Linked DNA regions of Drosophila melanogaster. The protein of the gene in region 1 purifies or fractionates together with the protein of each later gene. This does not show direct contact. Each region holds a gene or a part of one and is shown in the gene's direction. Other genes may lie near its edges. The genes, in order: dwg and eEF1alpha1.

The links.
Region 2: the proteins of dwg (region 1) and eEF1alpha1 purify together in Drosophila melanogaster (affinity purification with western blotting; one study listed by BioGRID). This does not show direct contact.

What each region holds. Positions count from the first base shown.
Region 1 is NC_004354.4:2,725,868-2,737,299, forward strand, and holds dwg (deformed wings), read left to right. Parts: upstream 1-1,830; 5' UTR 1,831-1,964; coding exon 1,965-2,396; intron 2,397-2,677; coding exon 2,678-3,067; intron 3,068-3,129; coding exon 3,130-4,086; 3' UTR 4,087-4,175; downstream 4,176-11,432. Other genes in the region: fs(1)Ya (female sterile (1) young arrest), read left to right, coding at 1-624; vilya, read left to right, coding at 840-1,360, 1,425-1,617; ttm50 (tiny tim 50), read right to left, coding at 4,649-4,839, 4,899-5,022, 5,082-5,610, 5,667-5,850, 5,923-6,181; CG2712 (uncharacterized protein), read left to right, coding at 6,698-7,303, 7,364-7,618, 7,689-8,333; crm (cramped), read right to left, coding at 9,136-9,237, 9,310-9,461, 9,529-9,901, 9,970-11,432.
Region 2 is NT_033778.4:11,888,772-11,902,088, forward strand, and holds eEF1alpha1 (eukaryotic translation elongation factor 1 alpha 1), read left to right. Parts: upstream 1-2,363; 5' UTR 2,364-2,473; intron 2,474-2,624; exon of another isoform or gene 2,625-2,694; intron 2,695-3,350; exon of another isoform or gene 3,351-3,413; intron 3,414-4,351; exon of another isoform or gene 4,352-4,424; intron 4,425-4,770; exon of another isoform or gene 4,771-4,783; 5' UTR 4,784-4,803; coding exon 4,804-6,195; 3' UTR 6,196-6,749; downstream 6,750-13,317. Other genes in the region: ERp60 (endoplasmic reticulum p60), read right to left, coding at 178-618, 1,900-2,048; MCPH1 (microcephalin), read right to left, coding at 7,354-7,761, 7,825-8,043, 8,338-9,706, 9,776-9,867, 10,148-10,291; Zip48C (Zinc/iron regulated transporter-related protein 48C), read left to right, coding at 11,191-12,216. UniProt on the Drosophila melanogaster protein: This protein promotes the GTP-dependent binding of aminoacyl-tRNA to the A-site of ribosomes during protein biosynthesis.

The sequences.
Region 1 (11,432 bases):
CCGGAAATTCCAGAGCGTCGTCATCGCCAGGCGATTGTGCCGCGCCAGCTGAGCGGCGAGTTTTCGCCCAAGAAGGATAAGCCGAAGGAGAAGGGGCTGGCGGTGATGGCCCTGATCTCGCCGCCATTGCAGCAACCCAGGGTGCGTCCTCCGTTGCGGGAATGCCGTCAGCAGAGGGTCTATAGCGGCGTGCAGGATGTGGGCGAGCCGGAGGTCGTGGACGCAGAAGAGGAGGACGAGGTGTTCCGCCCCACAAACGCCTCCACGTGCAACGACAAAAAGCTGGAGGCGCCCAACTCCGGTCGCCTGTGGTCGCTGATGAGTTCCATGATGCGACTGCCGGCCAGCTTGCGCGGCGAACGCGAAAAGGACAGGGACAGGGACAGGGATTCGGATAAGGAGAACGCTGGTTCGGGCTCACTCATCCGTCGCTGCGCCTCCATCGCTGGATCCCTGGTGCGCCCCAGTGCAAGGGACTCCTCCATGGAGGACCAGCAGTGCCTCAAGAGAAAGCGCACTCAGACGCTGGACAGCCAGTACTGTAGCCCGCTGTCGCCGTCCAGCTCCTCGAAGCGCTACCGCATCCGGCCCAGGGAGCCCATCGAGCGCATGCGTCGCCAGTAGGTTTTAAGCTTTTGCCTGCGAATCTGTGTTTTAATTGTGAAATTCTTCTTTTTTTTTATCGTTTAATAAATGTTTGGTCTTGCATTAACCGTTATGCGCAGCAGGAGTTGGCAGGTCCAGGAGCTTAGCTCGTCTCATTCAGAGCTGCCAACTCTATCTATTGATTCTGTTATTAATTAGTTGCGCACAAGATCGAAAAGCTTAACGGAGCGCCCATGGCGAAATCACAAGCAGGTCAGACTGTCGAGCCGGAGGCGTCCAAGCTGTGGATCCACTGCAACAGCTGCTGCGCCCTGTTCTGCGATAAGAAGCACACCTTCTTCCTGCTCGCCTGCCATCACGTGTTCTGCGAGCGGTGCGTCAAGGTCTCCGCCGGCCGCACGCCCAGCGACGCGCCCATATTCGAATGCTCCACCTGTCGGCGGAGCGTGCGCGGCCGCCAGTTGACCAACTCGATGCCCAACCACTTCAAGCAGCTCTTCCATCCGGAGCCCTTCACCATCGGCAACGACTTTGTGGAGACGTTCCAGCGCGGCAATCATCGGCACTTCGACAAGTACAAGGAGAGGAAGGAACTGGAGATGGATAAGCTGTTCAAGGACATCGAGGTGGCCAAGTCCGTGTGCCAGAAACGCTTCCTGGAGGCGCAGATGCTGCGCGTGGAGCGCAAGAAGCTGATGCAGAGGTCGCGCTACATTAAGGCGGAAGTCGCCAATCGGAAGGCGGAAATGCATCGGTGCGACATTTGGATTCCATTGAAAATAGTTCCCATTAATGCATTATATTTCTACCCGCCTTAGGATGGCCCAGGCCTACCGAAGCCGCTCGCTGACTTCGCAATCCTCGTCATCCGCCCAACGCTCGGCGCGCGGACGTCCTCGTGGCCGTGGAACAGCCACACAGTCCTCCAGTCGACGCCGATCAACGGAATCAGCAAAGCGGCAGCAAATCACCAGCTTCATACACCCGCCGAACAACTCGTTCGATCTGTGAGCTAGTGCTGATAGGTAAAGCTCTGTTTTACAACCGAGTATATATTTTTTGTAAATAATCAGCTTAAAACAATAAAATGGTGTCATAAGCTTTAAAATAATAAACTGCTAAGTTAACAGCGACCGTTAAGTTTCAATTAACAGTTTCGTTAGGATAACAGAAGTGTTGAAAGTGAATTCGATTAATCGAAATCCATCGATGACTGCTGCACCGATAATATCGCATAAGCATCTGCTCTAAAAACGCATAAAAATTGAATTGCAAGAAGTAGAAGAGCGAAACGTCATAAAAGCGGCAAATCCGGCGCTGTCCGACAAGAACCACAGGGGAAAGCGGATAAGGACATCATGATGAATAGCAAGATCGCCGAGGTAGTGGTGCTCAACTGCCGGACGTGCACGCGTGCCTGCAAGCTGCACAAGCCGCTGCAGGAGGAGATCGATCTGGGTTCGGAGGGCAGCACCACGCTGGCCAGCATGCTAAACTACTGCACGGGACTCTCGTTCGAGCCGCAAGACGGCGCCGCCATGCCGCAGCACATCTGCCTCCACTGCCTGCAGCTGCTGGAACAGGCGTTCAACTTCAAGCGCATGGTCATCGATTCGGACGAGCTGCTCCGCCTGGGCCTGGACGAGGCGCGCTGCTCCAGCTTTCACGAGAGTCAGACTCATAGCCCCAACCAGAGCCAGCAGCACGACCAGCAACAGCAGGCGTTCGACTCCACCGAGGAGTACGTCATGATCGAGATGCTCAACGAGGAGCAGGAGAACGTCGCCAATGTAAGTATCTATCACTTCACGGTGCAATGGAATGCAATGGTTCTTGTCCACTCCCATAGAGGATTAACGATTGCTCACAGCGGGCACCAGTCACTCAAATCGATTCACTTATATTGTGGCTCTTTGGGATGTAGTAGGGTAGGTCGGTGCCAAAGGAGTGCAACCTGTACCTCCATACAATGGATAACTTGTCTGCTCTTGGTGACACTACGTCTAAATAGGAGATGGGCTTCATCAAGTCTAACTCCAAAGTAAAACCATAACACCTTCTTCATCCGCAGTTGGATGAAGAACTAGCAGAGGAGGATCGTCGCATCTTCGCGATGACCGTGGATGAGGAGGAGGAGTTTCTCACCGAGGAGGTGGATCAGGATGACGAGCTGTCGGAGGAGGAGCACCAGCTGGCACAGTCGGGCGACCAGCAGGAGGAACACATCACTATGGAGAGCGTGCATGAGTTTCAGCCCGCCGAAGTGGAGTATGTGACCATTAAGAATGAGTTCGAAACGATCGTCACGGAGGAGGATGAGTTCGAGGTGATGAACGACTCCGGCGCCCACGACGCCATACTGGACTGTCAGATGATTGTGATACCCGCCGAGGGAGCCATTGACGAGGTCATCGGCGAGGAGACCCTCGAATTGGAGGGGGATGGGCGCGAGGAGCATCTGGTGAGAAAGGTCAAATTATATTGCACTAGAATACCATTTATCCTCCATTCACCTACACACAGCTGCCGGAGGCGGAGGATGTCTGCGAAGATGAGGACTTCCTGGAGGAGTCGCTGGACTCAGCGCCGCCGACCGCTGGCGAGGCGCTGCCGTACGTGTGCACCGTGTGCCAGAAGGCGTTCCGCCAGCAGTGCCGTCTCAACCAGCACATGCGCTCCCACGTGGACGAGAAGCAATACGAGTGCGAGGAGTGTGGCAAGCGTCTGAAGCACCTACGCAACTACAAGGAACACATGCTGACACACACAAATGTCAAGCCGCACCAGTGCAGCATATGCGGCCGCTTCTATCGTACCACCTCCAGTCTGGCAGTGCACAAGAGAACTCATGCGGAGAAGAAACCCTACAACTGCGATCAGTGCGGCCGCGGATATGCGGCGTTCGATCATCTGCGGCGCCACAAGCTCACGCACACGGGCGAGCGACCATACGCCTGCGATCTGTGCGACAAGGCCTACTACGATTCGTCCTCGCTGCGCCAGCACAAGATAAGCCACACCGGCAAGAAGGCTTTCACCTGCGAGATCTGCGGCGTGGGACTGTCTCAGAAGTCGGGCTACAAGAAGCACATGATGGTCCACAGTGGCGTCAAGGCGCACAAGTGTGATGTTTGCGGGCATGCCTTCACCTTTACCAGCAACCTCAATGCCCATGTTCGCCTCCATTCCGGCGAAAAGCCGTTTAAGTGCGAGGTCTGCGTTAAGGCCTTTCCCACAAAGAAGCGACTGGCCAGTCATATGCGCGTCCACAACAAGGAGTCGCCGGTGACGGCCACCGTTGCTGTTCAGTCCATCAATCCTCCCAGCCGACAAGCGGGCGCAGAAGGTGCGACAGGCGGAGGTGCGACAGGTGGAAGTCCGACCGGTGGAGGTGCGACCGGTGGATCGGCAACCAACCTTCACATAACCGAAGTTCATGAGCAGCCGGTGTCCACCTCCAAAGTGGTGATGGTGCTGTGAGCGGCCACCAAGCCGTGGGAGCGGCTCTAGAATGTAAGCCTAGGCTAAGGATTAGACACTTAGTTCAATAAAACTGATTTTTGTTCCAGAAAAAACTGAAAGAAAATTCGACACTTATTTTTTACATACATAAAAATAATTTTGTTTTCACGATAACTATCTCAGCAGGTTTAGCCACTCTTATCCATCAATTGTGATTAGATAACGCACAGCAAGTTCTCCACTTTCGTAACGAAACACATGGATGTCTTGTTTTTGGTTTTACGGTTAAGTCGTCTCTTTATAATAATAATATTACGATTAAATTGCCAAAAAACAAAAACAAGCAAGTTTAGTTATTCAATAAAACAAAAACATGCGCCTCGTCTTTTCCCAAAGGAGCAAAAGACAGAGCGTGCCTCCCAATCCTGCTGTCTGCTGTCTGCTACTGCTTCCCACTAACTACTCCAAAAGTCGACGAAAAATATGGCCAGTGTGCTGCTGCAGGGCGTGTTTGTTGCTCCGGCGCAGGCGGAAGGTTAAGGTATGCGTATGGAACGGGTTGTGCGGTATGGCCAGCCTCCTAGCGGCCGAGAATGTTGCGCGACCACTGTTTGACCATTGGCTTGGTCTTGGACTGCTCGATGCGTTCCGCCTCCAGCATTTGTTCGGCCAGCTTGCGCTGGTTCTCCCGGAACTGGTTGATGGGATCGTCGAACTGGCGATAGTAGTGGAGCACCTCGCGCACGTCGTCCACGTTGTTCTGCGCAATTACTGTAGCGAATTGCAAGGGTCAGTGTTTAGCTTTCAATGTCACTTGTGGCGCAACTTACTCTTTAGGAAAGCGATAAGGTCCAGCAGTTGGCCATCATCGTCGTTGCCATGCCAGCGGGCCAAGCCGAATGTGTTGTCCGGATGCATCTTGGTGGCATTCGCATCCCAGTCCACAACAATCACCTAAAATACTCCCTTCTTTATAGATGATTGCAATAGAAAATACGTTGTGCATGACTTGCCTTCTTGAGGTCGCGATTAAGGTTGTCCAGGTTCTTCACATGATGGCCGTCCACAAAGTGCGTGGCATCCCTGACCAGGCGGTACATAATGTAGCCGTTGGGATCGAGGGCATCCAGGATGGGGAACACGGTCATGCCCTGTTCGGCGGTGAAGACGACAATTTCAAAGTCCTTGGCGCACTCGGCCAGAAAGTGGTCGACGCCGGGACGCTTCTTGAAGCGCCAGCCAGTTTGGTAAGTCCAGTCCGGATGCACCAGCACGTCCTTCATCTCCAGCACAAGCGTGTAGCGCGGCTGCACGTACGGCGGCTTGAGCGGATCGGGCAGCAGTTTGGCGCGCGACGGCTCCTGGATCATGCGCTGATAGTAGTGAATGCTCTTCCACATCCGCTGCAGATACTGCTGTACCAGCGGCTTGTGTGTGAACTCGTCCTCGATGGGCTGCCCGTTGGGGTCCACCTCGGGCTTGCCGAACTCGTAGACGGCCCAGAATCCAGCAGCCACGGCGCTGCCTCCGAATATTGCAAAGCTGCAGCAGGAAGTATTGTTATAATACTGTTACGCATTGAATGGGCGTCAGCTTACCCCAGCTTCATGCGCTTCCAGGCACGCTCGTTCTCCTTTTCCTCCTCCTCCTCGCGCTTCTTGCGCTCCTGCTCGGCGTTGCTGTCCACCTCCGGCGAGGTCTGAGGAAAGAGCTTGGCCAGCAGCGGGGCATTCGGTGCGACCTCGGGCGCATCATTGGGGCCAGTGGCTCCAGCTTCCTGCTCTGCGAAACGAAAGTGGCCAAGGATGAATGTTTAGGACTCTACTGTTTAGGACTCTACCGTGAATCACTTACTGGTTGTGCTGCTGTAGCCACGCGCTGTGTGCAGGATCGAGAAGAGCGCCGGAGCAGCCGCTGGCAGTGCTGTGCAAGTGAATAGTCGGAGGTACTGCTGCTGGTGGTGGAGGAGGTGGTGCTGGTGCTGGTAGTGTTGGTGGTAGTGGTGGTAGTGATTACCCAATGCGCGGTGCTGGTGGATGTGGGTAAGAAGACGCGGCGTGCTAAGGCCGCGCAGCAACTGGAGGACGGTGGCCGGTGCCATGCTCATGCTCATGCTTCCCCCTTCCTTCCCGATATCGAGTCCTAGAGCCGTTCACGAGTCCTGCTCGGATGGCAGCGACTTTTTACTTATAAAAAATTCCAACAAAAATTTCAACTTCCCACCGGCACGGCGTTGGCGTTAGGGATTTTATATACTGTCCACTGCCAGGCGGCACCAGGCGTTAGTACATTTAGCACGTGGCTCTCAGCAGGTATAGATCGGCGATTTTCAAGCCAAATCTGGCGGGATTTTGCAGATAACTGCGTGTGTACATATGTTGCCTCCGGCAATCTGACTAATCACAGTATTAAGAAAATTTTAAATTAAAATATTTTAAATAATATGGAAATACACAACCTTTGACCAACCACCAAGCCACTGTGCCTCTGGTCACTTCCAAGCTGATGTGCCTGGCTAGCTATTTTGAGTGCCACCACTAACGCATCAGCTGGACTTTGGCATCACTGTTCGGGACGCTAAATTAAGTTATTTATTTAAACGTGTATTATCTACTGTCGAGTTCAATCCATGACGACCATGTCGCCGCCGTCCCCCATGGACGCCTTGTGCCGCGTGTGCCACACAGCATCGCCGCGCTGCCTGCCGCTCTTCAAACCGCTCGACGATCCAATTTCCGGCAAACCAGCGACGCTGGCCAGCATTTTAAGCTACTGCAGCGGTCTGGAGATCCTAGAGGCGGAGCTCTTCCTGCCCCACCACATCTGCCCGGACTGCGTGGCCAAGTTGCGGCTCTCGCTGGAATTCAAGCGGAGTGTCCATCGCATGGACAGAATTCTGCGGCAGAGTCATGCGGACTTTTGCCGCAGCAAAAAGATCAGCGCGGTGAATACTAGGGCCAGGCTGTCAACCGAGATTCCGGAGGATTTTGTACTCGTGCTCGATGACCAGGAAGTGACTGAATATCCAGCAGAAACGATACGAGATGAGGAGCAACTCCTGGTCGTAGAATCAGATGAGGCGGAGAGCCGGCTGGAAGCGCCAATTGTACAGGAGGAGAGGCTGGATATTGCACTGGAACAGCACGAAGACGATCTCTGCGAGATTGTCGACGATCCGGATCCGGAGCAACGTAGGAGCAGGTTAGAAAGATCCGAGCCAGCGCTGCAATGTCCCGTGAGTTGCCTTTCCGAATTAGAAGTAAGTAATCACGAAATAGTTTCCCATCTTCGGCAGATTTGCGGCAAACAACTGGCTAGGAAGCGGACCTTTCAGTACCACATGAGGCTACATGGCCAGCCAAAAATTCGCCAAGAAGACAACGACCACTGCATTGAAGAGTGCCTCCAAGTGGAGCCCGTTTTGCAGGCCAAAGCTGGCGAAGATGTCTACGAGATTGTGGAGAAATCAGCACAGACTTCGGCGACGCAGAAAACTTTGCCCAGTGGAAGCCGGCCTTGGAAACCCCTCAATCCCTCCCTACAGTGTAAAGTAAGTTGGTCATCGCAGCTCGCAAATAACTCAAAGCCGAAGGTCATCAATTCTCCCTCCATTCCTTTAGATCTGTGGCAAGCAACTAAGCACCAACAACTCCTTCAAGTACCATATGCAGCTACATGGCACGGCCACGCCCTACGTTTGCACAATCTGCGGAGAGTCCTTTAAGACGCGAAACGCCCGCGACGGCCATGTCACGCTGCACGATCGTAACAATCCGAACAGGTGCCCCACCTGCTTCAAGGTCTACCGGCAGGCGTCCTCGCTGCGCACACACCTTCTAATCCACAGCGGAATCAAGCCATTCGAGTGCAGCATCTGCGGCAAGAGGCTAACACAGAAGTCGGGCTACAAGAAGCACATGCTCACCCACACGGGCGAGAAGCCGCACGGCTGCGACATTTGCGGCCGTCGCTTCCGCTACTCGAGCAATCTGATTGCCCACAAGCGCTGCCACAGCCAGGAGAAGCCCCACCCGTGCCCGGTGTGCCAGAAGCGCAGCTTCGGCAGCACATCCGAGCTCAACCGCCACATGCTCGTCCACAGCAGCGAGCGACCGTTCGGCTGTGAGCAGTGCGGCAAGTCCTTCAAGCGCCGCATCTCACTCGCCATCCATCGCCAGTCGCACAAGGCGGGCAGACAGCGGAGGCGGGCCGAGCATGAAGTGGGTGTCCAACTGGAGGAGCAGGACGAGAATGTGGAGACCTGAAGCTAGATCGCTTATACTATCGGCTTAATGTACAAATCGGGACATTTAGTTTTAGTTCAATTCGCTTTTATTTTCGGTACTTTCCTTCGCACAATAACAAGTTTTAAGTGTGTTCCTATTGTTAGGATAAATTTGATTGGTTTTCCCACCCAAAATAATGCGTGTTTCATACATACATATATATTATATATGGTCAACAAACATTTCGAGTCTTCTGACGATCCTTTCGATTTGATTTAATGTAATGAGCTTTAGTTTATCAGGTGGAGGCGGGAGAATCTCTATACATATGGAAGTTTCGATTGGGTTTTGTAGTTGATAGTGGCTAAGGGTGAGGGTGCGGGTGCGGGTGTGGGGACCTTAAGCTAAGCTACTATGCTGCATTGAACTTACGCGCTAGAAACCAATTAGAGTAGTGCGGAACGAGTGTGCGAGCGGGTAACAAACAAAATGGGGCTGGGAATTAAAAGTGTGGATTGGGAGCTACGCGTTACGCTGCCGCGCGATACATAAAGTTAATGTATAAATAAATATATATGTTCAGACAATGTGAGTGCTTGCTAATACTTGGCATACATAAAATGAGTATAGATCACAAAAAGTCGCGTAAAAACATAAATGTTAGTGGGTATAACGTGGGTGGGTGGGATGAGTGAGTAATGAGTAATATCAGTGGGACATGAGGCTTGGAGGCACACGTGGCTTTCCTTTCCATCGTCCAGCTTGGACGACTCTCATCTCAAGATCCGGACTTGGGTACACAAACGAAGAGGACACGACCGGATTGCCGCAGTGGCCACTGCTAATCTTTCTCCTGCTGCTGCAGCAGGGCGGCGATTTCCTGGAACTTGTGCCGAAAGTCCACGCTGCTCTCGCTGATCACCGACATGCTTGACGACGGATCCTGTGGATTAGGTTAGAGGTCGGTCCACAATGAATGTCGCAAGTGGGGAGTGTGGCATGCGTTCTGGCTTACCAGTATATCCCTGGTGGCATCAATCTCATCCAAATGCCCCAGCAGCGACGTCAACGAGAAGTCATTGATATTGTCCTCCAGCCAGCGTGCGTTGGATGTTGAATCTCTGAGCAAGTGCATCGGACTCATGCTGCCTTGGAAGAAGCTTTGAGCTGCCGCGAAGAAGATAATATAAAATTTATACAAAAATGAAAAGCGAAAACATGCTGATGCTCCTACTTGTGCTCCCGTCTTGGGCCGCCTCGTTCAGGGAACTGCTGACGTCCGTCCTGTTGGTGGCCACGCAAATGTCCAGATTGGGCATGTCTCGAGCGCTGACCTGCGTGGCCTCGTCGTTGAGGAACTCCAATGCCCCCTGATCCCCTGGCTCTTGATCCTGTGAAGCGGTCGTGGCATTCATGCTGGAATCGGGTTTCGAGCCAGAGGTGCTGATGCCAGCGGAACTTATGCCATCCACGCGATCAATCGGCTCGAAAAGGCCACTGTGGAGTTGGCGCACACTCAGCAGATCGTACGGACGATCGCCAGCGGATGTGGGTGGTAGGAGACGGCGCTGCACAAGCACCTGACGACTGATCTTTTGCCGTGTGAGCTAGAATGCACGCAATGAATGCAAATCAATTGGGATTTGGGTAACGCCAATAAGGAAAGACCACTTACCGCTGAGAGTTGGCGCACAGGATCGATGTTGGATATCGGCCGCCGCACTGGCAGCATCGGCGTTCGGAAATTGCCCTCAACCATGCCGCCCACTCCGCCGGTGGCCGTCGCCTCTGCCAGCTGCTGCGCCTTGGTCATCAGGTCCCGCTTGCGATCGCACGTGTGGCCGCAGTTGCATTGGCGCTTGCGCACGCGCTCGCTGAGATTGGCCACGAGTAGCAGGTGCTTCAGCTTGTTGCTCACCGACGATGTGGTGACGGCCCTGACGCGTTCCACGCTATCACAGTCGTTGGGATTGTAGGGCAGCGAAGTGCTCGAGGTGCTCGAATTGCTCGATGCGCTGACGTAGCAGTTGGAAGATGCGCCTGTTTGGTTGGCGTTCGAGGCGGCGCTGCCGGTTTGGGTGGCCACCGACGAGGAGCTAGGCGTTACCGTGTTGATTGTTAGTATGCTGGATGCCATGGCCGTCGAACTGTCGACCTCACACCAATAATACTCCAGCTCCAGCTTGGAATCCTGGCCAAAAACGACATACAGATCACCGATGGTTATATCCGCCGCATTCGCCTGCGTCCAGCCCTTGCGGATTCTCTTCAGTATATCGTCGCTGAGCAGTGGCTTAAAATTTCGAGCCTGTGCCGCGGCCGCCGCCTCCTTAGCTTCTTTGCGTTTGGAGCGGGCTACGGATGGAGCCGCCAAAGAACCGGTTACAGGAGTCGAAGGAGCGGGAGCTGCAGCACAGGAAGTTTGTAGAACAGATGTCGCCATGGCATTAGATAGATCCGCGTTGGCCGGATAAGCCTGTTGTACAGGATCGTGCGATGTTTCAAGCGCAACAGCAACAGTTGTGGTATCACCAGTGGTGGCCGAAAGAGCTGGAATAGTGGCTGCTTGCGGATGCTGCATGGCCTCCAATATATCGCCCAGAAACTCATGAATCTCCTCGCCCAGCTCATCACCGCTGCTATTCTCCATCTTCATCAGATTGCCCTCCAAGGGCCCGTCGTCCAAACTCTTCTCCAGCGGCGGGCTGGCACTCGATTTGGGTTTCTTTGTCTCCGGCGAACGCTTCTCGGAGCCGCTTTCCGTTCGTAGTCGCTTGTTGGCCGCCACCGACATGCCGGCCAAATTGCCCAAGGTCTCGCTGCGCACTTTGAAGCCCATGCGCTCCTCGTATGCCGTCAAGCAAATACTGATGCTGCTTAGGTAGGCGGTGATGCTGAGCAAAGGTCGGTGGATGGCCACTCCCGGCCGGGGCTGGAAGCACATTGAGGGATCCAGCGATGCAACTGACGGCTGTAATGGTTCCGTTTCATTGTTGTTGTTATTGTTGTTGGACGCAGCAGATGGCAGGCTGCTGGAAAAGTATGCACTCTTCTCCTCGTGCAAACGCTGATTGGCGCTGCGCCATTTGTACTCGAACGTCTTGATGAAGCTGATTAGTTTCTTGTGCAGCGGAACTA
Region 2 (13,317 bases), on another chromosome or scaffold:
TTTGGAGAAAACTTTGGAGCAAGTTAAATGAACAATGAAATGGATGAACCTTTCATTACATTTAAACAAATATGAAAATCCCAACTAGGCTCTAGTTTATTAACACTTAGAAAATATATAAAACGAAAAACACATAATACACAGATGTACGAGTCTTGATTAGAGCCTCCCACTTACGTTTCGCCCTGCTTATCGAGGACTTCCTTTTCGCTTGAATGTCCGAAGCGGTACTTTTCGCGGTTCTTATCGGCGAACTTCAGGAAAATCTTGGCCAGTTTGGAGTCGCTGTCGCTGAAGTAGCCGAACAGCGTGGTGTCCTTGGTGTCCAGGAACTTTTTCAGCTCGGCAACGGTGCGCACGGTCTTGGAGGCGGGTCCCACTTGGGCGCGCATGTACTTGGCAATGCCGCTGGCTTCGCGTGGTCCATTGTAGTCCTGCGACACCTCATCCTGACGGAAAATCTTCAACGTTGGGTAGCCGCTGACGGAGTACTTGCTACACGTTTCCTTTCCAGCTTCCGTACAGTCAACCTTGGCCAGTTTGATTGGCGGATCATCGTCTTTCACGATCTCCGCCGCCTTGGCGTACTCGGGCTTCAATCGCTTGCAGTGGCCGCACCTTAAACAGGAAAAAACACTCTGTTAGGACACGTCACTTAAACATTATGTTGGTAACAATACTATCTAATTCATCATTTGTTATCAAGGCAACGGGAAGACAAGTTCCCAAAAAACTAGCTTGTAATTAAAGTAAGGGTGCTGGAATTATCAACTGTCTTATCACACAAGTACAAGTGCCCATTAGGCATACAGAGAGAAAAACGACTTGGTACTTATTTGAAACAGCAGAGTATAGTCTGCACTCTTAGCAGTGCAGATAATAATTCATTTTTGATAAAGATAAGTGATGCCTTAAGTTAACTATGTTATAATGAAAAGAGCAGTTTTATTGCAGTGTACAACTTTTTCAACTTCATCCCTGTGTATTTATGCTTGAATACTGATAAGGTTCGTCATGAGGGAATCAAGTCTCCATGCCAAGTAGTTCAACAGCTCTTTGGGGATTTCGAAAGCCGGCCGGCAAAAAAAACGCTAATAATTTACCTAGTTCATTGTCCAAGTGTGAGCTTATAGTTTACCCCTGATAATGGGCAAACAAATGGCTCAAAAGAGAGTAAATAGGCACAGTAAATATGTGTTATGTACTAAACAAAAATGTATTAAAAGGTTATTGTGTTCAGTGTGGATTACGATGGAAGTTAAAAATGTGTCTACTGACATGAGAAATTTATAGCACAATCAGCATAACTTTTGTGAGTAGGCAGGCAATTAAAATTGAAGTTTTAATATGGTTGGTGTAAACTGTTGGGAAATTACATTTGTATGAGAACTGTGAGTGTTTCAGACTATGATAACCAGTTTCAAGCTAAATCTAAGTTAACCCTTAGAATTACACATTCCTGGGATTATGGGTATAATGCATAGGCATAAGAAACTATAATAAAAGATGCGCTATGTACACTGGGGCCCCTATGCCTGCTCACTATCATTAGCCAGTGGACAAGTGGAGCAGGAATTGCACGGAAATTGTACCAACTAGGCACTTTGGCACCCCGCGCTCTAAAATGGCCGACGGCACCAATACTGGCATATCATCATTGCCCCTCTCTTTGCGTCTCGTTTCGTTCCGTCACTCGTTCCTTCTTTATTTGCCGGCAAAAGCAAGGCAAACGCTGACGTGTACTTTGCGCTTGCGATGGCCGGAAAATCGGGCATCGGTCGGCACTGGGCATTGGGAATCGAATTAAGTTGCGGACGCAACAAGCGGATTATACGCGAATCGCACACGCAATGCATTTGTTGTAGGATGGCGCCCGGCCACGCCCACTCACTAACTCACCAGGGGGCGTAGAACATGACCAGCGTCGTCTCGTGTTGTTTTAGGGTGGTGGCAAAGTCGTCGTCCCCCAGTTCCAGGACATCCTGCTCCGCTCCGGACGAGATGGCGATGAAGCCTAGTAGGAGCACTCCAGCAAGGCGCCACATCATTATTTGGGTTCACTTGAAGCGATATCGGTGAATAATTCAAGTTCAACTAGGCCGTCGAACGCCTACTTCTACAACAAAAACTGAGTACCGGACCGGTTCGGTATTTTTCAACGATTGAATTCGCTTTTTGCCTCTTTCGCCACGTCGCTTCTTATTCTGTTTCGTCGTAGTGTGGCCAGGTGGGGCTAGGCCGAAAATGTCTAAAGTTGGAAAAAGCTCTCAGTTGTGAGCTTTCCTGCATATGTAAACAATAAATAAAGATGGCTCATCATTTATTAATGACTAATGTCTATATGTGTGGGTTTTAAATGCTTTAGCTATAATTCTTTCCAGTCACACAGAAAAGTTGAGATCTAGATTTAAATTAATTTAATTGATACCGATTTATAATAAAATTTTGTCAAATTATCATTTCATAAAAGATGGTAATTGCATTTATTGTTAACTGATTTCGCAAGCATAACAATAATCATATTATTAATAACTAATTAATTAATTTCACAAAATTAGGAAAACACTTAGGAACTTTTAATTGCGTCCTATATAAGGGGCAGGCTAACAACTTTTGTTCTATGCACAATGAATAAATTTATTGAGTACAAGTGAAAACTGAGTGAAAAAATAGTCTAACAAAAAATATTAAGCAGTAAGTTACAAATTCAAATAAATATTAGCATTCTGATGAATTCCAGAAGAAAAAGTATTAAAACGTGAGATCTTAAGTTATAAATTTTTACAATATTGTATAAATTGATACAATACCAAATTACTTATAGTTTTATTTGTAGCATATTTTAGTTGTAGCAACGGACGCCAAAAAATGTATAAATAAATGAAACGTATTACATAAATTTAAACGATCTCAAGCTTCTATTGTTATTTAAAGTTCTATTACGTTAGGGTTCACATACAAATTAAAGTTCAGGTTCTAGTCTAAAAGTTCAAAATGCGGACTACTAATGCAATTGTTATAGTTTTTAAATATTAAGAGATATGTGTTCCAATATTACGTATAGAAATTATAGACATCGTTTTGTAGAAAATATTTTTGGAATCACTGATTATTTAGTTTTTCATATAAAAACAATGTCGAGCAAACAAGGTTTTTTAAATCCCTCAATCGTTAGGTTATTGTATTTTGCCACTTTCAATCACTTAAATTTCAATAAAATGAAGTGCTTCATTCGCGCGTAGTGGAAACACCGCAGTGAGAACACGGTTTCTGCTCTTTTGACAGTTGCGTAGCTTCGGTCACACCATGTGTCAAACGAGGCTTCCTGTGCTGAGCTCTGCCGAACGCTCGTTCACTTTGTTCGAATCCGTCGCCGCTTAGACTTCGTGATTTCTCATTCAGCTTATTCGAGAGTAAGTTTTACCTGCGAGGCTATAATTAAGTAATTTCTGCAACGGGACTGCAGCCAGAAAACAATTTATAAACAAATATGCAGCTGAGACGCCGAATTTGTGCATATTTCCAGTGTTTTTCCTGTGTGTGTGTAATAAACCCGGAGATAACCTCTAACTGCGGTTTTCCAAAGTGAAAGGTGGCCATAGAAGCAAACACGTGGCAAGTCTGCAAAGGCAAAAATTTTAACTGGCGTTCCCAGTTAAAGTTCCCAGCATTCTCAAAATAATTTTCCGGCTTTTCCGGCCGCATTTTCGCCCTGCAATATGGTGCACTTAGTGTGTAATTACTTTGCCACGCCCACGCCGGACACAGAGGTCATCCACCAGATGTGCTCATTAACCGAGAAAAAAAAACGTGCTTTCTCTCTTGCCTTTGTCATGACCTATAGATATTCCTTATTCTTTCTTTTTGCGGCATGGAATTCTAAAATGGCGACCCAGTGGCGTGAGTCAAGTGGGCGAAAAAAATTCGCCTGGCAACAAGCGAAAAAATGTGCTTTTTTGGGTTTCCAGCCCATTAGCATATCTGGTGAAATGGCACTCGCATCAGCTATTTCGCCATTTCCAACCGACTCCATAATTGGTTTTGGTAAAATGGCTGCCGCTGCACTACGTTCTTGAATAATTCGTTGTGTGCCCCTCTCTTTTTCATTTCTTTCCAATTACCAATTGTGCCACCGCGGCGAGATCGCTTGCATTTGTACAAGTCACACACGCACACTAATGCACATCCGCCATTTTGGTCTCTCTCTCTCTCTATTCCTCTCTTACTTTTCCTCCGGCCGGCAACAGCGTCACACAAATACACAGGCATAGATATACACACGCATAGGCAGATAAGCACATGTGTATTTGCGAATTAAATTTGCTGGAATTTTCCTTTGGACTCTTCGATTTAACATGATGATGATTTTTCAGTTCTGCTACTGAAGACAGTTGACGAAAGCAAAAATACCAAAATCACTGAAACAAAATCGAGTTTCCATATGGAATTTTATTTGCACGCTCTTTTCTGTAGTTGCGCCCCACTCGTTTTACCCACACCCTTACATGCGGGCACTGGACCTAACCTCAAAAAACACGTTTTGTACGGCTGCAAGAGTTTGAGGTTAGGTTGTGCTCGCGCATGCAAACAAAAGTCGAACGTACGCTAGGGAAATGAGAAAGTGTTATACCCACTAATAATTGTAGTTGTAATCCCACCGAATGCTAACGAATTGTTTTACCCTTTGTTTATTCCAACCTCTCTTGCTCGCCAACCCGCCGAACCCTGCAACCTTCCAATGTTCCAACGTTCCGTCAATCCAACACTCGAATACACACAACAGCCATAGTGTAATCATCCAACATGGGCAAGGAAAAGATTCACATTAACATTGTCGTGATCGGACACGTCGATTCCGGTAAGTCGACCACCACCGGACACTTGATCTACAAGTGCGGTGGTATCGACAAGCGTACCATCGAGAAGTTCGAGAAGGAGGCCCAGGAGATGGGAAAGGGATCCTTCAAGTACGCCTGGGTTTTGGATAAGTTGAAGGCTGAGCGCGAGCGTGGTATCACCATCGATATCGCCCTGTGGAAGTTCGAAACTGCCAAGTACTACGTGACCATCATTGATGCCCCCGGACACAGGGATTTCATCAAGAACATGATCACTGGTACCTCGCAGGCCGATTGCGCCGTGCTGATTGTCGCCGCCGGAACCGGAGAATTCGAGGCAGGTATCTCGAAGAACGGCCAGACCCGCGAGCACGCCCTGCTCGCCTTCACCCTGGGTGTGAAGCAGCTGATCGTTGGTGTGAACAAGATGGACTCCTCCGAGCCACCATACAGCGAGGCCCGTTATGAGGAAATCAAGAAGGAAGTGTCCTCTTACATCAAGAAGATCGGCTACAACCCAGCCGCCGTTGCCTTCGTGCCCATTTCCGGATGGCACGGCGACAACATGTTGGAACCCTCTACCAACATGCCCTGGTTCAAGGGATGGAAGGTGGAGCGCAAGGAGGGTAACGCTGACGGCAAGACCCTGATCGATGCCCTCGATGCCATCCTTCCCCCAGCCCGTCCCACCGACAAGGCCCTGCGTCTGCCCCTGCAGGATGTGTACAAAATTGGCGGTATTGGAACAGTACCCGTGGGTCGTGTGGAGACTGGTGTGCTGAAGCCCGGTACCGTTGTGGTCTTCGCCCCTGCTAACATCACCACTGAGGTCAAGTCCGTGGAGATGCACCACGAGGCCCTGCAGGAGGCCGTTCCCGGAGACAACGTTGGCTTCAACGTCAAGAACGTGTCCGTGAAGGAGCTGCGTCGTGGCTACGTTGCCGGTGACTCCAAGGCTAACCCCCCCAAGGGAGCCGCCGACTTCACCGCCCAGGTCATCGTGCTGAACCACCCCGGTCAGATTGCCAACGGCTACACCCCCGTGTTGGATTGCCACACCGCTCACATTGCTTGCAAGTTCGCTGAGATCAAGGAGAAGGTCGACCGTCGTTCCGGCAAGACCACCGAGGAGAACCCCAAGTTCATCAAGTCTGGCGATGCTGCCATCGTCAACCTGGTGCCCTCTAAGCCCCTGTGCGTGGAGGCCTTCCAGGAGTTCCCCCCTCTGGGTCGCTTCGCTGTGCGTGACATGAGGCAGACCGTGGCTGTCGGTGTCATTAAGGCTGTCAACTTCAAGGATGCCTCCGGTGGCAAGGTCACCAAGGCCGCCGAGAAGGCCACCAAGGGCAAGAAGTAGCTGGTTTGCTTCCACTCAACAACAACAACAACACGCAGTAGTAGCAGCAACAACAAGCATATAACCAACATCATAATGCAGCCAACAACACCACTCAATAATACCAGCAACAGCAGCAGCGAACACAATAGTAGTATAACACCAACACCTGTCCTGCGCAAGATGACCGATAAGATGATGTTTCAGCAGAAGCATAAGTTTAATTTCTTCCATCGAAAGGAGTTTCGACGGATACGAATGCTAAATGCAGACGAGGCCGCCTAAATTGGGAAACGGTGGATCCCAAGGATAAGAGTGCACACTGGGAAAACACTTGCATTTATGCATCCACTCCTCATCCACTTCCCCGTCGATCTTTAGTTTACTAAATATGGTATGATGCACGGAGTTGACTTCGTTTTATCATATCATATATAGGAATCCTCTGTAGCATTTATGATATCGTTTAAATTAACCTTTATACTTTGATATGTATCATTTATCTTACCCTACTTTTGCACACACTACTTTGTACACAAGAAAAGAACCAGAATAGAAGCGATAACTATATTTACAAAAAAAATAAAAACCCTATTTTTGTATTTCTTTTGTTTTTACCACCCAGCCCGTAAAAGAGCACTCTCTTTGCTTGTTGCCTCCCGATTTTCAGCGCCATGATCGATCGTCCCTAACTCCAAGTTCACTTATCGTCGATGCCACAAAGTACAAACAAGAGCTAGTCGAAGAGTACAACAATTGAATCTGACAACAAATACCTCAATCGTTTAAATAAAGCAAGCAATTGCATCTGAAGAATAATGAATATTTTTTATTGTATTTGAGGGGGGGGGGGGGGCTTTTATTTCTCATCGCAAATAGAGAAAAATGCATTGATTTATTTATTTAAATAATAACGAACGAAGTTGGAACAAGTGTTTTTTTATAATTTCTGTTTAAAGTTATGGGATATATTATTTCCTTCGTAAAATCTGTATAAAAACAAATTAAAAAATGTACTAGAAAATAAACTAAGATCGTAAAATACATATATGGATTTAAATATAACTATATTTACATTGGAGTAATTTGCACAAAAAGGTGAAACAGTGTGGGAAAATGGTACTCTGTGTGTCCTAGCTTAAATATTTAGTAAAGTGAAGTGGATGCACCCACTGATCTCTATTTGTCCAGCACAAACGGTGGATCGACGAAGTCGTGAAGGTGCCTTCTTTGTGTTTTGTCCTCATCGCGATCCCTAGGATCCTCGTACCGGATCCCATCGGCCGAGATAATGGCGCTCTTCATAAGATATTTGCCAAAGCGCTGAATTTGCATATTCGTGATGCTGTCCAGCACCCAGTAAGGATCGAGATAGACGCGATCGTCCTCGGCGCGCCGCTTGTCCCCGATGATGTACTTGGCCTTGAAGCGGTTCTCGGTCAGGGTGGCACCGCCCAGCAGGAGCAGCTCCTTCATATTGTTGAACTGCACCGGTCGGCAGAGGGAGGACACATAGAAGGGCTCCATAAAGCGAAACAACTCACACTGGTAGTGGACGCCAAAGGCCTGCCTTTCTGTACGACAAATCTGAAGGATTAGAAACGGAAATGAGTTAGTAAGTAGCTACTGGTGAGAAAGCATAGAGCTTACCTCGATTGCACGCGAAAACCTGGTCAGCTCATAGGGCTCTTCATTGATCCACTTGCCAGCCCGAATGGAGGCCAACACCCACTGGTAGCTAACTATCCAGACTCCGCGCATCAATCCGCGCAGGAGATTCAGGGTACGTCGCGGCTCCAGGCTAACCAGGTGGGTGGTGTGCTGGGTCACGGTTGGATCCAGCCGCATGCCGCGTAACTTGCGCAGGGCCTGGGATTGAAGGCGGTTTTTTCGATTAGGATTTATAACCGCCACGGATATTGTTTATTCAACTGTGCGGGAGGCTTTACAAATGAGTTACTGCGCTACCAATCTACCGAGTGTTGTTTATGCTTAATCAATAATTAATATGGGACCATTAACGAGTTGTGAATATGCTAATTTACAAACTAGTACGGTTTACTACTAACTAATCCATTAGTGGAGTTGCAAAACTGGCTATACAACGGTTACAATCAGAGGGAGATGTGGATGGTATATTGGTCACTCCGTCGTATTACCAACCTTGCGGATGACGTTGATCTGCTCCTGGTGCATGTTGGTGTGGACTAGCGTGCGAATCCGTGTACGTGATTTGCCCTTTGGTTTCTCATTCTCTTCCCCGGCGTTTGATGTAGATTTCTTCACTTCCGGAACGGCATCCAACGAAGCCTCAGATATTTCTGTATTGCTCTTGGACTTTTCTGCCTCCTTGTTTGTGACGGCTTTGGAAAGAGGAGTCGTGGCACACAACTCTGATGATGAAGACTTTGCGGGAGTGGCTAGCGAGCGTCGACGCTTCTGCACCGAGCTCGATGATCCGGATCCGGTTATGCTCAAACGACTCTTTCTGTTGCTCATCGCTGGCGAAATGACCACCTCGTCGTTTGGATTGAAAAGGCGCCGCCTTTTGGGCTCTTGTGATGGGACTGGCTCTGCTTGCGGTGGCTCTTGTTCATGGACTTGGCAAGACTCGCCCAGCTCCGCCTTATTGGCCAAGGCTAGGGACATTCGATGTGACTGGTTCATTCTTTCGATGCTCTCGTTGATCACGTCCATGTCCATGTTAAAAATAGTTCGCCTGCGATTTCCTGTAGTCTGGCCTGTGGGCAGTCGTGTGGAGCTGAACAGCGGCGTCACTTGCTGCTCAACGTCTAAAAAGGACGTCTGAGTAGTCACGTTGCTGAGCGACTGCCTGGCCCTCGGAGCTAAGTTTTCCTGCCTCAACTCTAAGCTCGACTTGGCCACGCTGCGCCGACGAGGAGAACTTATGTCCATCAATTCTGAGGCATAGAGCGTGCCACGTCTGTCCGCTTTAAAAGAAGCTTCTGCCTCCACGGCAGTTATCTCAATTGATTGCTCAAGACAATTGGTGTTGTTGATTATATTGGTCTCGGCCATAATTATAGAATTCCTGTTCTCTTCAACGGGAGCCAGCTCCTCCGTTATGGGTTGAATGGTTTGCCTTTGGGCGGTTTCTTCTGCTTGTTTGGCAATCCCTAGCAATGAGCTCCTGCGACGAGTCATTCTGGGTTCCGCAACTGCGGTTTGAGTTGGATCGGCCTCGTGAATAACCGTGGAAGTGAGTAGCGAACTTCTGCGGCGGGTCATTCTCGTATCCGTTGCAGCAGGACTGCTGATTTCAGCTACGCAGCTACGACGGCGAGTGGTGCGCACTGGTGGCGTCATTACCGGCGGTGGATCCACTGTGCTCCGCCGTGGGCGTGAAGTGCTCGATGGTTTTGCCTGGGGGGTATTGCTGTCCGTCTGCTCTCCAAATTGCAAACTCTTTTGGGCCTGCACCTTTTGGGCCACCGCATCTCCACTACCATTGGTTCCCATCAGCTGGGGAGTGCCACCGGCCGGCAAAGGAGTGTAGCATCCACTGCTTATCCTATGGTTAAAGATTTTATTTATTTAGCAGACAAGATTTTTGTACAGGCATATTATTGAGAAAACACACCTGTTGAGTAGTTTGGTGGCTGGCGACTCTATTGCCTCATCATCCGATGGCTTATTGTGGTTAATGGCTCTGAAAAAGCGGCTGATGTCATTCTGAAAAGAGAAAACATTTTAATACTTGAATCAAAAGAAACATTCTACTGTAGTGATAATGACTACTGAGAATTGCTCATTTAAGGGGCCTAAAATTTATCTATGCAATACAAATTGATGTTAATGAAATATTTACCAGACACATATACACATATCTATTTAAATTAGTATACGATTATTTTAATTTAATTGTATAGAACTATGCTCATTATGCCTACAAAGTTCAAATATCTCAATTTCATAATAAATATTTGTAATATTTAATACTGAGCCCAATTACCTTTGGTGTGGTGGTTGTTGGAGTTCCGGTCTGGGCTCGTTTGTTAGTCGATCCTGGCTCGTTGTCCTTGGAGGATGTGGGTGTTCCTTGGCGTTTGCGGGGTCGCTGATTCAACTCGGAGTCCGGCTGCATGAACTTAACGCGCTGCGAATTAAGGGATTTTAAAATTAGTTAACGCTGCGTAGCTGCAACTACGGTGAGCAAGCTCATGCCCTTTGGTGTTATTGTTGATGCTGCGGATGCTGCCGACTTTTTTCAGTCATGTTGACTAGAAAACACTGTTTTATTTGTTCATAACTACGTGATATCTGGCCCGTTGTTTAAATAGAAAACTTTCTTATCTACAATGAGACCATCTCGCTGCCCAAGAGGATGGTTCCATCAAGTCGCAATCGATAGTGCTCGCTTATGCGTTAAATGAATATCAAATGATATTTAATAAAATTACAAGTCAAATCCGAGGTGAGCAATAATGATTTAGTAGCAGAGTTCGGTAACGAATTTTGAATAAATGCGCCTTGCGAGTGCCATCCCTAGCGGCCGCCGTCTATCGATAGACGCCAGCGATAACACTACTATCGATTGCCGTGGCACACAGCCAGCGGCCCTATAAAAATTGCTTTTTGTGGGGCTGTCAGCTCAGTCAGCGGCTCATTCATCACTTTCCGACGCGCTCTAGTAGAGCTAGTAGACCTTTTTATCAACCCGTCAGTATTACGCGTCCCCCCGAAATTGCCCCGCCGCCCGAAACGCAATAGCATTCCGCAAAAACAATACGATAAGCAGCAACAAGTGTTCCAGAGATTCCCTTGAAACATACACAGAATCTAAAACTCCATTGAAATTGGTTCTCAGTTGTTTTGTTTACCCAGCAATCAGTGCCCAAGAACGTGGCACATTTCCAACTGTGGGCGGGTAAACAATTGCTGCGCAACAATTAAGAAAACTTGTTCGCCCTGTCTGTGTACACGCGAATAAATCTCGGGAGTACAATTCCATACCAGCCGGTGACGGGCACGGAAAAGCAGCTCTAACTGTGCAAGATGATTCCAGGCTATGGACCCGTCACGCAGGCTCTGCTGGGCACCCTGCTTACCTGGGGACTGACCGCCGCTGGCGCCGCCCTAGTGATCTTCGTCCGGGGTAACCAGCGGAGGTCTCTGGACGCCGCCCTGGGATTCGCAGCTGGCGTAATGATAGCAGCCTCCTTTTGGTCACTCCTCAAGCCGGCCATCGAAATGGCCGAGAGTTCCCATTTGTACGGAGTATACGCCTTTCTGCCCGTCGCTGGAGGCTTCCTCTTGGGATCGATCTTCGTCTACGGATGCGACAAATTGATGTCATACCTGGGCCTTAACAGCACCAACATGATGATCCAGATGACGCAATCAAAAGCCAAGGCGGACATAGCCATCGAGGACTCTAAGCGCAATGGAGTTGCCCCCGATAGGTTGGCCTCAAAGAGTCTGGACAGCTTCTCCGACTGCCTTAGCGTGCAGCACAGCGGCGAATCGAGACGCCGAAAGAAGGGAGCTAGCATCAACGAGATGGAGCAGTGCACCTACACCACGCCTGAGGAGCAGCAGCGCGCCGAGGACGCCCTGTCCCAGTGGAAGAGGATTATGCTTTTGGTCGTGGCCATCACGGTCCACAACATTCCAGAAGGGCTGGCTGTGGGCGTAAGCTTTGGTGCCATTGGCTCCACGAACTCATCGACATTTGAGAGCGCCCGCAATTTGGCCATTGGCATTGGCATTCAAAACTTCCCCGAGGGATTGGCTGTCAGCTTGCCACTGCATGCCGCAGGATTCAGCGTGAAGCGGGCTCTGTGGTACGGACAGCTGTCCGGAATGGTGGAGCCCATTTTTGGAGTTCTGGGCGCCGTGGCGGTGACCTTTGCCAACCTGATCCTGCCATACGCCTTGTCTTTTGCGGCCGGAGCCATGATATACATTGTGTCGGACGACATTCTGCCGGAGGCTCATGCCAGCGGAAATGGAACGATCGCCACGTGGGGCACTGTATCCGGCTTCCTGATCATGATGTGTCTGGAGGTGGCGCTGTCGTGAGGAACGAACGGCTCGCCTTCGCCCGCCTCGCAGATTTCATAATCTAGTGCTAAACTCAAAGATTCCACTGTACTTAACGCAAAACTCTGCTGTCTTGTAAATAGAAGCATGCTGTGTACAAATCTCAGAACCAGCCCTAAACGAGAATCTAATAATCTAGCGTAGAGTGTAAGTTTTGTAGAAAGAAGCTTGACAACCAGCGATGCCGCGACGACATCCGTGCAATTGTGTATCTGTGCACACGTATCTGTACAGCATTCCCAGCGAGTTATGTAAATGAACTGTTCTAGGAAAATTTGTAAACAAACGTGCATGTGAATTAGGTTTTAAGTTGTCACCGGCGTCCAGTAGCTTGTGTCTTTTTTAACCGTCTAATGTCTAAGTAATAAACTAAACGAATTCAAATGAACATCTCTCAGTTGCACCCACTCGCTTTTTTCCCTCACAAATGTAGCTGTCTCCGTCCGGACAACTTCCTGACCGTTTCTTTGGCCGTACGATAGCTGATAAGGGCAAGTAAATTCACTTAGATAACCCGGAGTGCCAACAACAACAACAGCTGGTTGACTCGCTGTCAGCCAGTGATAAGTGATAAGAATCTGTCCGACACGAAGAGTTCCCAATATTGCGCGTATTCCGTGTTTGAGATACGTGCAGTTTCAGACGGCCCGCGGTCCTGCGTTTCTGTTCGCCATTTTCTGGATTAACTAATCATTTCAGATATGTATGTTTGTACTCGCACAAGTGCTTTGGGCCACAGTCCACCCACTGTGATCGTGGTCATCAGGAAAAGTGGTCGATAAGACCTCTTGCCGGCTATCTGTTGTACAATTTCCATATAGTTCTTTATGTGCGCCATAAAACCATAAACTCGGTATGAATGGCCTATTAGTTGGGGGCATATCTCAAGTGGAGTTAATGCTTCTGTGTCCGCAATGCCATAAATTGATAGTGTCAACGATTAGACTAATTAAAGACCTATTTCTTTTGTAATCGAAGTGTAAGTTAAAGCTGCCATTTCCAACCAAAATGTAATGCAGAGTTGATGAACTCGAAAGTACATTGTCGTCTTAGATCTGATAAAGCTTTTGGGAAGTTGTT